Caenorhabditis elegans: one gene and its partner. The protein of the gene in region 1 purifies or fractionates together with the protein of each later gene. This does not show direct contact. Each region holds a gene or a part of one and is shown in the gene's direction. Other genes may lie near its edges.

Region 1 (6,036 bases):
AAAAGAGAAATTTGTGATTTTTAAAACTGTGTTGCTGTTCAGTCTTGAAACACAAATAAAACATAAAATTAGTTGACATCCACAACAATTGTCTTCTGCGAAAAATTAAGAGCAAAGAAAAGACTGTAAGACAAAAATGGTAGATCAATCTGTTAAATCATCTCAAAAATAGTAAATAGTTCACCAAAAAGAAAACAAAGTTCAAAATACCAAAACAAAGAATGTAGCGTTTTTTTTTGCAGATCCCCTAAAAAAGTTAATAGAAAATTCGAGGTTCTTATCAAAATAAAAATCGTTGCGGTTCATCCAAAATGGTAGTTCAAACGGTGGTTATCAGTTAGAGGGAAACCGATGAGGGTAATGGCATGATAGACTCAGGCATGCTACAAGACATTACTTTTTCATGGAAATTGAACGATAGTAATTGACTGATATTAGATCAAATTGTGATCTTTCTATGTCATGCTTGCAACGATGACCAAGTTTTTTTTTCTATAATGAGATAAAGAAGATATTGTCTGTGGGAACTGACGAAAGAATGATGTGTTTCTAGTCATTCTCAAAAATTCCAGCATTTTTGACCAATAGTTCTATCATGATAATTACAAGAAAAGCATTTATAGTTCTCACATTTTTCTTTCATACCATTAAACTAAAATAGTGAAAACTCACAGTTCATATAAGAATTTTCGGAATTTGTGTATTATAACTCCACTAAAAAACTTGAACTTTTGAAAAAAAAAAACGTGCGGAATACATTGTATTCCAGGATTAGAAAAACTTAGTTTCTAAACCTTTAAAAAAATGTGTATCGCATTTCATTTAATTGATTCAATTAATGAAAATAACATTTAATTCTTAAAATGTGAAAAAATACACAAGTACCGATTTTCAATGTAATTAAAAATCCCTAAATGTTATTCTTCTCTACAAAACCTTGAAATTGACCAATCCCGCCATAAAACCAGTTGAAGAAAACCACGTGGGTAACTCACGTTGCCGTTTTTATCAAATAGTGTACCTACATCTATTGAAAAAATAACATATGTATATATGACCGATTTGAACAAAGATCACGTAGAAAAAATGTGATTTTACAAGACAGCCAGAATTATAAAGTTATTAAATTTACATAAAGCTCTTAAAGATGAACTGTAAAACCTGTCGAAAATTTGAGTTTAGTCAGAATATTCGACACTCCTGTACTATGCACATTCTTTAAAAATTGAAACTTAGGGCAACTTTTAAAAAGCGAAATATTTTACAGAAGAACCAAACATCCTAGCATAATTCAAGTGTGGTAAGAGATTTCGGAGTGATAAAGGAAAAATTGACTAGACCGCTGACACCAACTAAACGTGGATCATAATCACGAAATGTTAATCACCATGCTATTCTTGTCACCACAACCCTCCACCTATCCAATCCTGATCGCTCTTTGTCGCCATTTCCTCTCATTTGCCTCTCGAGAAAGATAACATCAAAGTGGTGAAACAGTCAAAAAAGATAGGACTTGCGAGAGTACGGACGACGCAGAGATAAAAACTGGGTTGTCTGTGTGACTCCGCCTTCGAATATCGCTGGGTTCTTTATAAGGGCAGTGTCCGACTGTGCGAACAAGCCATTCTAAATCGCTTCTCAGTCTTAAAACTCAGAAATGTCCTCCAAATTCCTTTTCACCAGTGAATCTGTGTCCGAGGGGCATCCAGACAAAATGTGCGATCAAGTAAGTTTTTTTTGTTTTATTTATTTAATTTTATCTATTTCTGTTTTTTTTAGATTTCTGACGCCGTTCTCGATGCTCATCTTAAGCAAGATCCAAATGCAAAGGTTGCTTGCGAGACCGTAACAAAAACTGGTATGGTTATGCTCTGCGGAGAAATTACCTCCAAGGCTGTTGTTGACTATCAAGTTCTCGTCCGTCGTGTCATCGAAAAGATTGGATTCACCGACTCCAGCATTGGTTAGTTTATAGAATCTTGCTTTATTATTAGCTTGTTTCAATGTTTTTGTTCAGGATTCGACCACAAGACCTGCAACGTGCTTGTTGCTCTTGAGCAACAATCTCCAGAAATTGCTGCCGGAGTTCACGTCAACAAGGACGGAGAAGATGTCGGAGCAGGAGATCAAGGAATCATGTTCGGATATGCAACCGACGAGACCGAAGAGACCATGCCATTGACTCTCATTCTTTCCCACAAGATCAACGCTGAGCTTCACAAGCTCCGCCGTAACGGAACTCTTCCATGGGTCCGCCCAGACTCCAAGTCTCAAGTCACCATTGAGTACGAGTCCCGCCACGGAGCAACCATTCCACTCCGCGTTCACACTGTTGTGGTCTCTACCCAACACTCTCCAGATGTTACTCTTGAGAAACTCCGCGAGACCATCCTCGCTGATGTTATCAAGAAGGTCATCCCAGCTTCTCTTTTGGACGAGTCTACTGTCTTCCACATCAACCCATGCGGAACCTTCATCGTTGGAGGACCAATGGGAGACGCAGGAGTCACCGGACGTAAGATCATCGTCGACACCTACGGAGGATGGGGAGCTCACGGAGGAGGTGCTTTCTCTGGAAAGGACCCAACCAAGGTCGATCGCTCTGCTGCCTACGCTGCCCGTTGGGTAGCCACCTCATTGGTCAAGGCTGGACTTGCTAAGCGCGTCCTCGTCCAACTTTCCTACGCTATTGGAATCGCCAAGCCAATCTCAGTTTTGGTCTATGCTTTCGGAACTTCCCCACTCACCGACGAAGAGCTTCACCAGATCGTCGAAGACTCCTTCGATCTTACCCCAGGAAAAATTATCAAGTAAGTGAATACAGCTAGATAGGAGAAATTTCATTGGTTTTTTACAGGGAGCTCGACCTCAAGAGACCAATCTACGAGAAGACCGCCGAGAACGGTCACTTCGGTCACTCTGAGTTCCCATGGGAGCAGCCAAAAGCTCTCAAGATTTCTCCAGCACTTCTCGAGAAGGCCAAGGGAAACCCAATCCCAGCCACATCTGCTATCGCTCACTAATTTTTTTGCCTCGGTATGCAAAACTTATTTTTTAAATAATCAATCTCGTTTTATTGTATGCTAGGCACCAATAGTTTAAATTAGTCCGATTTTGTGGATAGACCCCTTGAAAAAACTGAAAAAAAAAACAAGTTAGAGTATTAAATTAAGTTTAGGCAACTAATTACATTTTCAATTCAGCTAGATGACCAACACCTCGCCGTATTTAAAAAAAAACGATTAACGTATTTTGACCTTTTCCCTTTCCTCCCCCACCAGCCTCTTACTCTGATGCGATCCCCCAATTTTCTGTCCCTTCCTGTTCACTGATGATGTGCACTCTTCAGAGCATTTTTCAACAGTGCCTTCTCTTTTTTAAGTCCCCGGTTTCCGCTACCCGCTGAGCTGTCTTGACTTTTAGAATAGCTTCATTTTCAAAAAATTCATATTAAAAAAAAACATCACAACGCAAAAAAATAGTTCTTGACAGTTTCTAATGCCCGAAACATATTTTCTCCAATTACATAGTATTAAATATCCTTTCTCATAACTTCCTCATTGCTCAATGTCTCAACTGCCACCAACTGAGTGGTATCGTACGATTTTTAAGCACCATCAAATCTTTGGTTATAATTAATACATATTTTGTTAAATTGTAATAATCCTTCGGTGGTAGTTCACTGAATTGCTTATTTCCATTCATAATTATGCTTGACATTTAACTTTGGGAAATAAAGTTTTAAAATATAAATTTTTCGAAATTTGTGTTGAAAATAAGAAACATCAAACATTCTAAGGATGATAAAGAAAAAAGATTTTCTGCAAGATAAGACTGGGTGAGTCGTAAAACGCTCCCGCATTGATAAAGATAACCAAGAAGGTGAAATTGACACAAAGACCAAATGAGACAAAAAACTTGATAAAATGTAATTTACAGAAAAAAAAAACTTTCGACATCATGAAAAGAAAACATTATCGTATGTTTGAAAACTTGAAGCTCAACTGCTTCATGGAAACTCAAAATACGCCCTAGAGAGATATCGTTTAATGCCAAACCACAATTACATAATTTCCTGATGCAACCATTTTTCGGTTCAGCATCTCGACAAAAAATTTCATGGCAATAACCTGGTAACTTAATTAGCTGCCAGAAAATTTGAACGGTGTTACTAAGATATTAATATACTTTTTTAAATACTTGATTCTAACTTATTACGTACTTTTGCCACATTATAGAAACTTTTCCAGTTTTCGGCAGATTTCAAGAATAGTGATAATTGGTCCGTAATTTTTCAACATCAGACCGAAAGAGATGCAGTAAGTATTTTTGTGAATAGGTTTCGTTCCGCACAAAAAGTTATTGAAGTTGTTTACACTCAATACTTCAAATTTAATTTGCATGTAAGAGTTTTATTCAATTTCGACTAATTTGCTCGTTTTTAAAAATAACATTAAAATTCTGCCAAAAAAATTAACTTTTAAATTAAAAAATTTAACTTTTTTGGAGATTTATTTGTTCATTGTTGTTAAACTTAATTCTAAAACGTTGAACGTTGTTCAATTTAAATAATTACAATGTTTTCAAAATATATACTTTTCGCATTCTTCTTGAAGTGTTTTTGTTTTCCAAACAACAAAAAGCAATTCCAATATGAATTAATCATGATAACTTCATTTTGTATCTAGTGCTGAGAATACATCGTGATTGCTTTCCACAAATTCCACAAAGCTTGCATAATATCTCTCGATTCATCATATCCACGTCACACTAATTCAGGAAAATCTATTTAGCGAAAATATCTAAATACGAAATCTCGAAAAAAAACCAGCTTTAATAATACATTCTATTTTCGTCAAAACCTCTCTAGTGGTGTTTTCCTTTTCTATTTTTCTCGAAGCTAATAATTATGGGATATCACCTGACACCATAGACGCAGACACAAAAAGAGCTCAAAAATAGTATTACAAGTAAGGAATGAGAATAATCTCACTATTTTCACAAATCTATACAAAGAGGCAAACTGATTTCAAAACTTTGCTTTTGTTCATTTCGACTGACTCTCTGCTTGAAAAGAGTCAGCGGAGTTTTCAAATACTTAAATATCTTTAAAGACACCTCGCAATCCAGAATGATCATCAACAGGTGAGATTATCAGTATTAAATGATAAATTCACGTTTTTTCTTCTTACTATTGTTCATGATTAGAACAAAACATCGAATATTTAAAATCCTTTGATTTTAATTTGAAAAATGCAAATAATAAATTTACTCTTTATTTCAGAGCGAGAATCCGAACTTTATGAATGCATTCACTTTGTTTCTTAATCTATCACGTCTAAAATAACTCGATGGCTACGTGACAAATGCAATATTTTCTTCTTTCAATTTTAACACAGACATAGTTCACTTTCCCATCGATAAGATCATATTATGCTCTCTGTTACACCTGAAGACTCATGTTTTTTTGCTTTTCTGTACAAAATGTTAACCGTTTGGATGAATAAACCGGCAACGACAAAAATGCTCAGGTGAGGAAATTTGAAACATGACATTTTAGCCAAACGTACAGTCTGGCGCTTCACTATTGCCTGGCGCTTCACTATTGCCACTTATTATTGTAATACTGTCTCCAAACGTTTACAAGCTTTAGAATTCACACAATTTCATTCAAAACTTTTTTCTATTCGATGTATTATATAAATGCACATTAAATAAATTCATAATGACTATAAATACATCAACATAACTAAATAATATTTGTCACACATCTGGTTTGCTCTATTCGTAGTGCACTATTTTAAAACTGTATATGTAAAACTGTATTAACTGATAATATTAAATTCCAAAGTTCAGCAATGAAGTGCATGCTTAATAGAGCAAATTTGATACAATTATTACATAAATATTAAAATTTAGATCATATTTTATGGCAGTTATGAATCTTCGTCGGACAGTTCAATTTCAATAACGTTTTCCAAACGTTCACAAGTCGCTGTAGACAATTGTCGCCTCCATTTCAGGTTATATTTTGAA
Region 2 (4,522 bases), on another chromosome or scaffold:
TGAAAAATTCCAAATTTCAAACCATAAAAATTTCAGCCTACAACCTCTTCTCGCTTGCTGAACTAATTGAAGTTGGCTGTAATTCCTTGTTCTATTCAATCGCCTACTTTGAATTCCCCAAAACTCGCATCACAATCGGAATCAAAAGTGTGCAGCGCAATCTCAACGAGCTTGACAAGTCAGTGACGAAAATGGCTCCAGCATTACCTCGGAAGGATTTCGTCTAAACTTTTTATTTTTTCTGTAGATTTTAAACCTCGATTTCAACGGGTTCCCCAATCCAGTGTTTGTACATATAGTTTACAATTTTACAATCAGTGAATAAAAACGTGTAATTTGTATTAAAAAATATTTTATATTTTGAGAAGAGAATGAGTTGGAACAACAAAAATAATCTGACGTGGATATATCCAAATAAATGGAAATAAAATGTATTTCCAAAGTTTTCACAATTCGAGGAGGATGTCTAACCTCACTTTCGTCAGAAATAGCTATTGTGAGTTTTGAAAAAAGTTACAAATTATGGAGCCACTACTGCTCGACTTGGAGCCAAAACTCCTGGACTTCAACATCTTAAACCTTGGATTTTCAGATCCTCAAAATGGCCCGTACAGTGATGGATTGAGTGAGCTTGTCCACAATATCTCATACTCTAACAGTTCTGAAAATTGTAGGTGTTGTGACTGGTCAAGTTCAGGAGACAGTTGACGTTTTTATGGCTATTATCCTGGTCATGATTGTCATTTTTCTAGCTGTTCATGTGAGTTTCTGGCTACAAGATTATTGTGTTGTGGAATATGAAAATGCCTGCCTACTTGCCTACGCCTTCGACGCCTGAGCAGGAATTTTTGTTTTTGAGATATTTTGAACTACAATTTATCGTTTTTCTACGTTTTTCATATCCAAAAGTTCTTGTTCCTTTTTTAAACAATTGCAGGCACGTACTGTAGGCACATAGGCTAGCGTTTCTCATGCACACAAAAAAATTTTACCAAAAATCTATCTAATTCTCTCTTTTCCAGCTCTTCATTCGATTCCACTACAAGGCAAAAACCGAGTATGCCCTCAACGAGCTGCGGGAGAAATTCGACAAAAACCCCAATGGTTCATCTGCATTTGCTCTGCCAAAGGATCCGAAAAAGGCAGGTGATTCTGCTCCAAAACCAGTTGAGATTTTGATGGAGCCGGAGCAACTTGCTCCGATGGTTCACTACATTGCAATGGCGCCACCTGGAAAAGCGGAGCAGCCGAACAAGAATGTCTTCTACAATGCGAATCCGTGAAAGCTCAGAAGTGAACTCGATGTCTAGTTTTTATTTTATTTTTTGTTTATTCTAGTGTTTTTCTGTTGTAAACTATGGATGTGTAATAAATGACTTTGGAGGCTGAAAACAGCCATAACCATGAGAAAAGTTGGAATCCTGAAAAATCTAGGGCGGGGGAGACTGCCAATTTCAGAGACGTTTTGACAAATTTAGCGATTTTCTGTTTTTCTTCATGATCTAAAATTTGTCATTTTCCAACTCTTACTAATCTCCGAGTTCGAATCTCGTACAAGATTACAACTACAAGCTTCTACCAGCAACTGAGCTCATGTGGTTCATAGCTTCAGCAACCCGTGAGACGTCGGCCCGTCCAAGACAACTGAAAGAATAGTCTTGCAGCCGACACTTTCCGGGTTCAAATACTAATTTAGAAACCTGTAAATCTTAATTTTTGGAGCGCCTCTAGCAGCCGACATCTTGCTGGTTTCTGAAAAAAAAAACAAGATTTCAAAAGCTGAAATTAGCTTGCAAGCCAAAATTTCAACTTTTGTGCCCACGAGTCTATTCAGATCAAACCATCTTCCCCTCACATTAATGTTCGAAAACTGATCACTGCTGTTTGCCCGTCTGCGTCTCTCCTCTCTCCTCCATTCCACTTGTTTTCTTCTCTATTTCTCCACGTGTTTGTACATAAACGTGATAATAATTATTGTTGGCGCGATTTATTTATTGAATTTAAAAATTAAATTCTTTAAATAAAAACCTTACGAATCAATTTATTTCTCGATTTCATTGCGTTTACGACATTTTATTTGTGAGTTTTTGTTGGCACGTGGCAATTGTTTTATACTTTTCTTTTTTTCAGCAAAATGAGTGCAAGTCTGGCACGTGGAATACTGAGCAAGATGGGCGGCTCATGCTGTCCTCACCATGCCCCAGCTACAAATCCATTCAAACTTGCAAAGCTTCATGGAAATAACAGTTAGTTTTTTACCCGAGCAGGCACGCAGGTAGGCGTGCCTGCCTGAAAACTTTCTAAAAAACCAATATTTTCAGAGTCAACAGATTACGCGTTCGAGATGGTGTGCTCAACTCTTCGTTTCGGAAAAGGAGTCACGTTGGAGGTTTGCTAGCAATATCACACATCACTAACTCAACTGTGAACTTTATCAGATTGGATACGACGTCCGTAATCTCGGAGCAAAGAAAACGTTGCTTATCACTGATAAGAATGTGCAGAATACGATCGCTTTTAAGTGAGTTATAGGAAAGCTTTAAAGCTCTAAAATTATTCAACAGACAAATTTTAGAAACGCCGAGCAAGCCTTAAAAATGGTGAATATCGAGTATGAGGTGTTTGATGATGTGCTCATTGAGCCAACCGTCAACAGTATGCAGAAAGCAATCGCATTTGCCAAATCGAAGCAATTCGATAGTTTCATCGCTGTTGGTGGAGGATCTGTGATCGACACGACGAAGGCTGCAGCTCTATATGCTTCTAATCCAGAAGCGGACTTCCTCGACTTTGTTGGACCACCATTCGGAAAATCCATGCAACCAAAGAACCCAATGCTCCCATTGATCGCTGTGCCAACAACTGCTGGAACTGGATCCGAGACTACCGCGGCTGCAATCATGGATCTTCCAGAGCACAAGTGCAAGACTGGAATCAGACTTCGTTGCATCAAGCCGTACTTGGCAGTTGTGGATCCGTTGAATGTGATGAGTATGCCTCGAAACGTGGCAATCTATTCTGGTTTCGATGTTCTCTGTCACGCGTTGGAAAGCTTCACAGCTTTGCCATTCGATCAAAGATCTCCACGCCCTGAGAATCCAGGAGTTCGTCCACTTTATCAAGGTTCCAACCCGATCAGTGATGTCTGGAGTAAAGAGGCTTTGAGAGTGAGTTGGAATTTCAACCATGAAGCTCTAAATGAATTTATATAATTTCAGATCATTGGAAAATACTTCCGCCGTTCTATCTTCGATCCAACCGACGAAGAAGCTCGTACAGAAATGCTCAAGGCTAGTTCATTTGCTGGGATTGGATTCGGAAACGCTGGGGTTCATCTTTGCCACGGACTCTCCTACCCAATCAGCTCCCAGGCGAAAAGCTGTGTGGCTGATGATTATCCAAAGGAGAAGAACTTGATTCCACATGGACTCTCTGTAATGACAACCGCAGTGGCTGATTTCGAGTTTACAACTGCCGCGTGCCCAGATAGACATTTGATTTCTGCACAGACTCTTGGTGCAGATATTCCGGTATGTAAATTGGCCACCAAGATGGTTCTGAACTAACTAGATATTTCCAGAACAATGCCAGCAATGAGTACATTTCCCGAACTCTTTGTGATCGGCTGAGAGGTTATATGCGAGACTTTGGAGTTCCAAATGGACTGAAAGGAATGGGATTCGAATTTTCTGATATTGGTAGAACACCTCTCTCTAGTTGAACTGCCTTATATTATACTATTTTCAGAAATGCTTACTGAAGCAGCCAGCCACTCCGTCCCAAATATTGCAATCTCTCCAAAGTCTGCGGATCGTGAAATTATCAGCACTCTGTACGAGAAGTCCCTTACGGTTTATTAGTCATTTTTCTTATTGTACTTATTTTATTATTGGTTGTACCATATACGTTATTGTTTCTTATGTTCAATGTAAATGTATTTAGAATAAATAAAGAAACAGAAACAGAAACAAAACAATGGCGCCAGGTGTCACCAGAATAATTAGAATCCTTCACCCCCCCCCCCCGTTTTTCTTCAAGGAACCGTTTAAATATTGCCGGCTTACTGTACTAATTAGGGATGACTAGAGGCGGGGAAGAACGAAGAAACATTACTACGCGACACGCAAACAATCGTAGGAATGTCCTTTGAAGCGCGGCGTGCCGGCATATTTGAATTTTGTTGCTGAAAGCTTTTTGGCCTTGGCTGTTATCAAGGATCTATGTATGTTTTGAGAGAATTGTCGAGAATAGCAGGATTTTGGAGACCAGGTACGGCGATACACTGGGTTCTTTTGGAAATTTGGCATATTTTAAGGTTGAATTTTTTTAGGAATTCGTTGGCAAAATGGTCAATTTTCATATCTCATTATCATTAATGTCATCACGAACTTTTCTAACATTAAACTTAACAAATAATTTTAAAATTTCTATATTTTTGAAAACAAAACTTAGATTTTGAGACTTTGCTAAAAATTTAAAAAAATATTTTTATGGCTTTTAAAATATTTGAAAAATTGATAAG

The links.
Region 2: the proteins of sams-1 (region 1) and hphd-1 fractionate together in Caenorhabditis elegans (co-fractionation; one large-scale study listed by BioGRID). This does not show direct contact.

What each region holds. Positions count from the first base shown.
Region 1 is NC_003284.9:11,964,371-11,970,406, forward strand, and holds sams-1 (putative S-adenosylmethionine synthase 1), read left to right. Parts: upstream 1-1,591; 5' UTR 1,592-1,657; coding exon 1,658-1,726; intron 1,727-1,779; coding exon 1,780-1,963; intron 1,964-2,017; coding exon 2,018-2,810; intron 2,811-2,857; coding exon 2,858-3,023; 3' UTR 3,024-3,036; intron 3,037-5,284; 3' UTR 5,285-5,523; downstream 5,524-6,036. Other genes in the region: Histone-lysine N-methyltransferase set-6, read right to left, coding at 5,937-6,036. UniProt on the Caenorhabditis elegans protein: Catalyzes the formation of S-adenosylmethionine (SAM) from methionine and ATP.
Region 2 is NC_003280.10:12,993,805-12,998,326, reverse strand, and holds hphd-1 (Hydroxyacid-oxoacid transhydrogenase, mitochondrial), read left to right. Parts: upstream 1-1,982; 5' UTR 1,983-2,079; intron 2,080-2,130; 5' UTR 2,131-2,134; coding exon 2,135-2,246; intron 2,247-2,321; coding exon 2,322-2,389; intron 2,390-2,438; coding exon 2,439-2,521; intron 2,522-2,575; coding exon 2,576-3,167; intron 3,168-3,218; coding exon 3,219-3,530; intron 3,531-3,580; coding exon 3,581-3,698; intron 3,699-3,747; coding exon 3,748-3,860; 3' UTR 3,861-3,965; downstream 3,966-4,522. Other genes in the region: Y38F1A.8 (Serpentine Receptor, class T), read left to right, coding at 37-227; Y38F1A.7 (uncharacterized protein), read left to right, coding at 523-625, 675-760, 1,023-1,283. UniProt on the Caenorhabditis elegans protein: Catalyzes the cofactor-independent reversible oxidation of gamma-hydroxybutyrate (GHB) to succinic semialdehyde (SSA) coupled to reduction of 2-ketoglutarate (2-KG) to D-2-hydroxyglutarate (D-2-HG).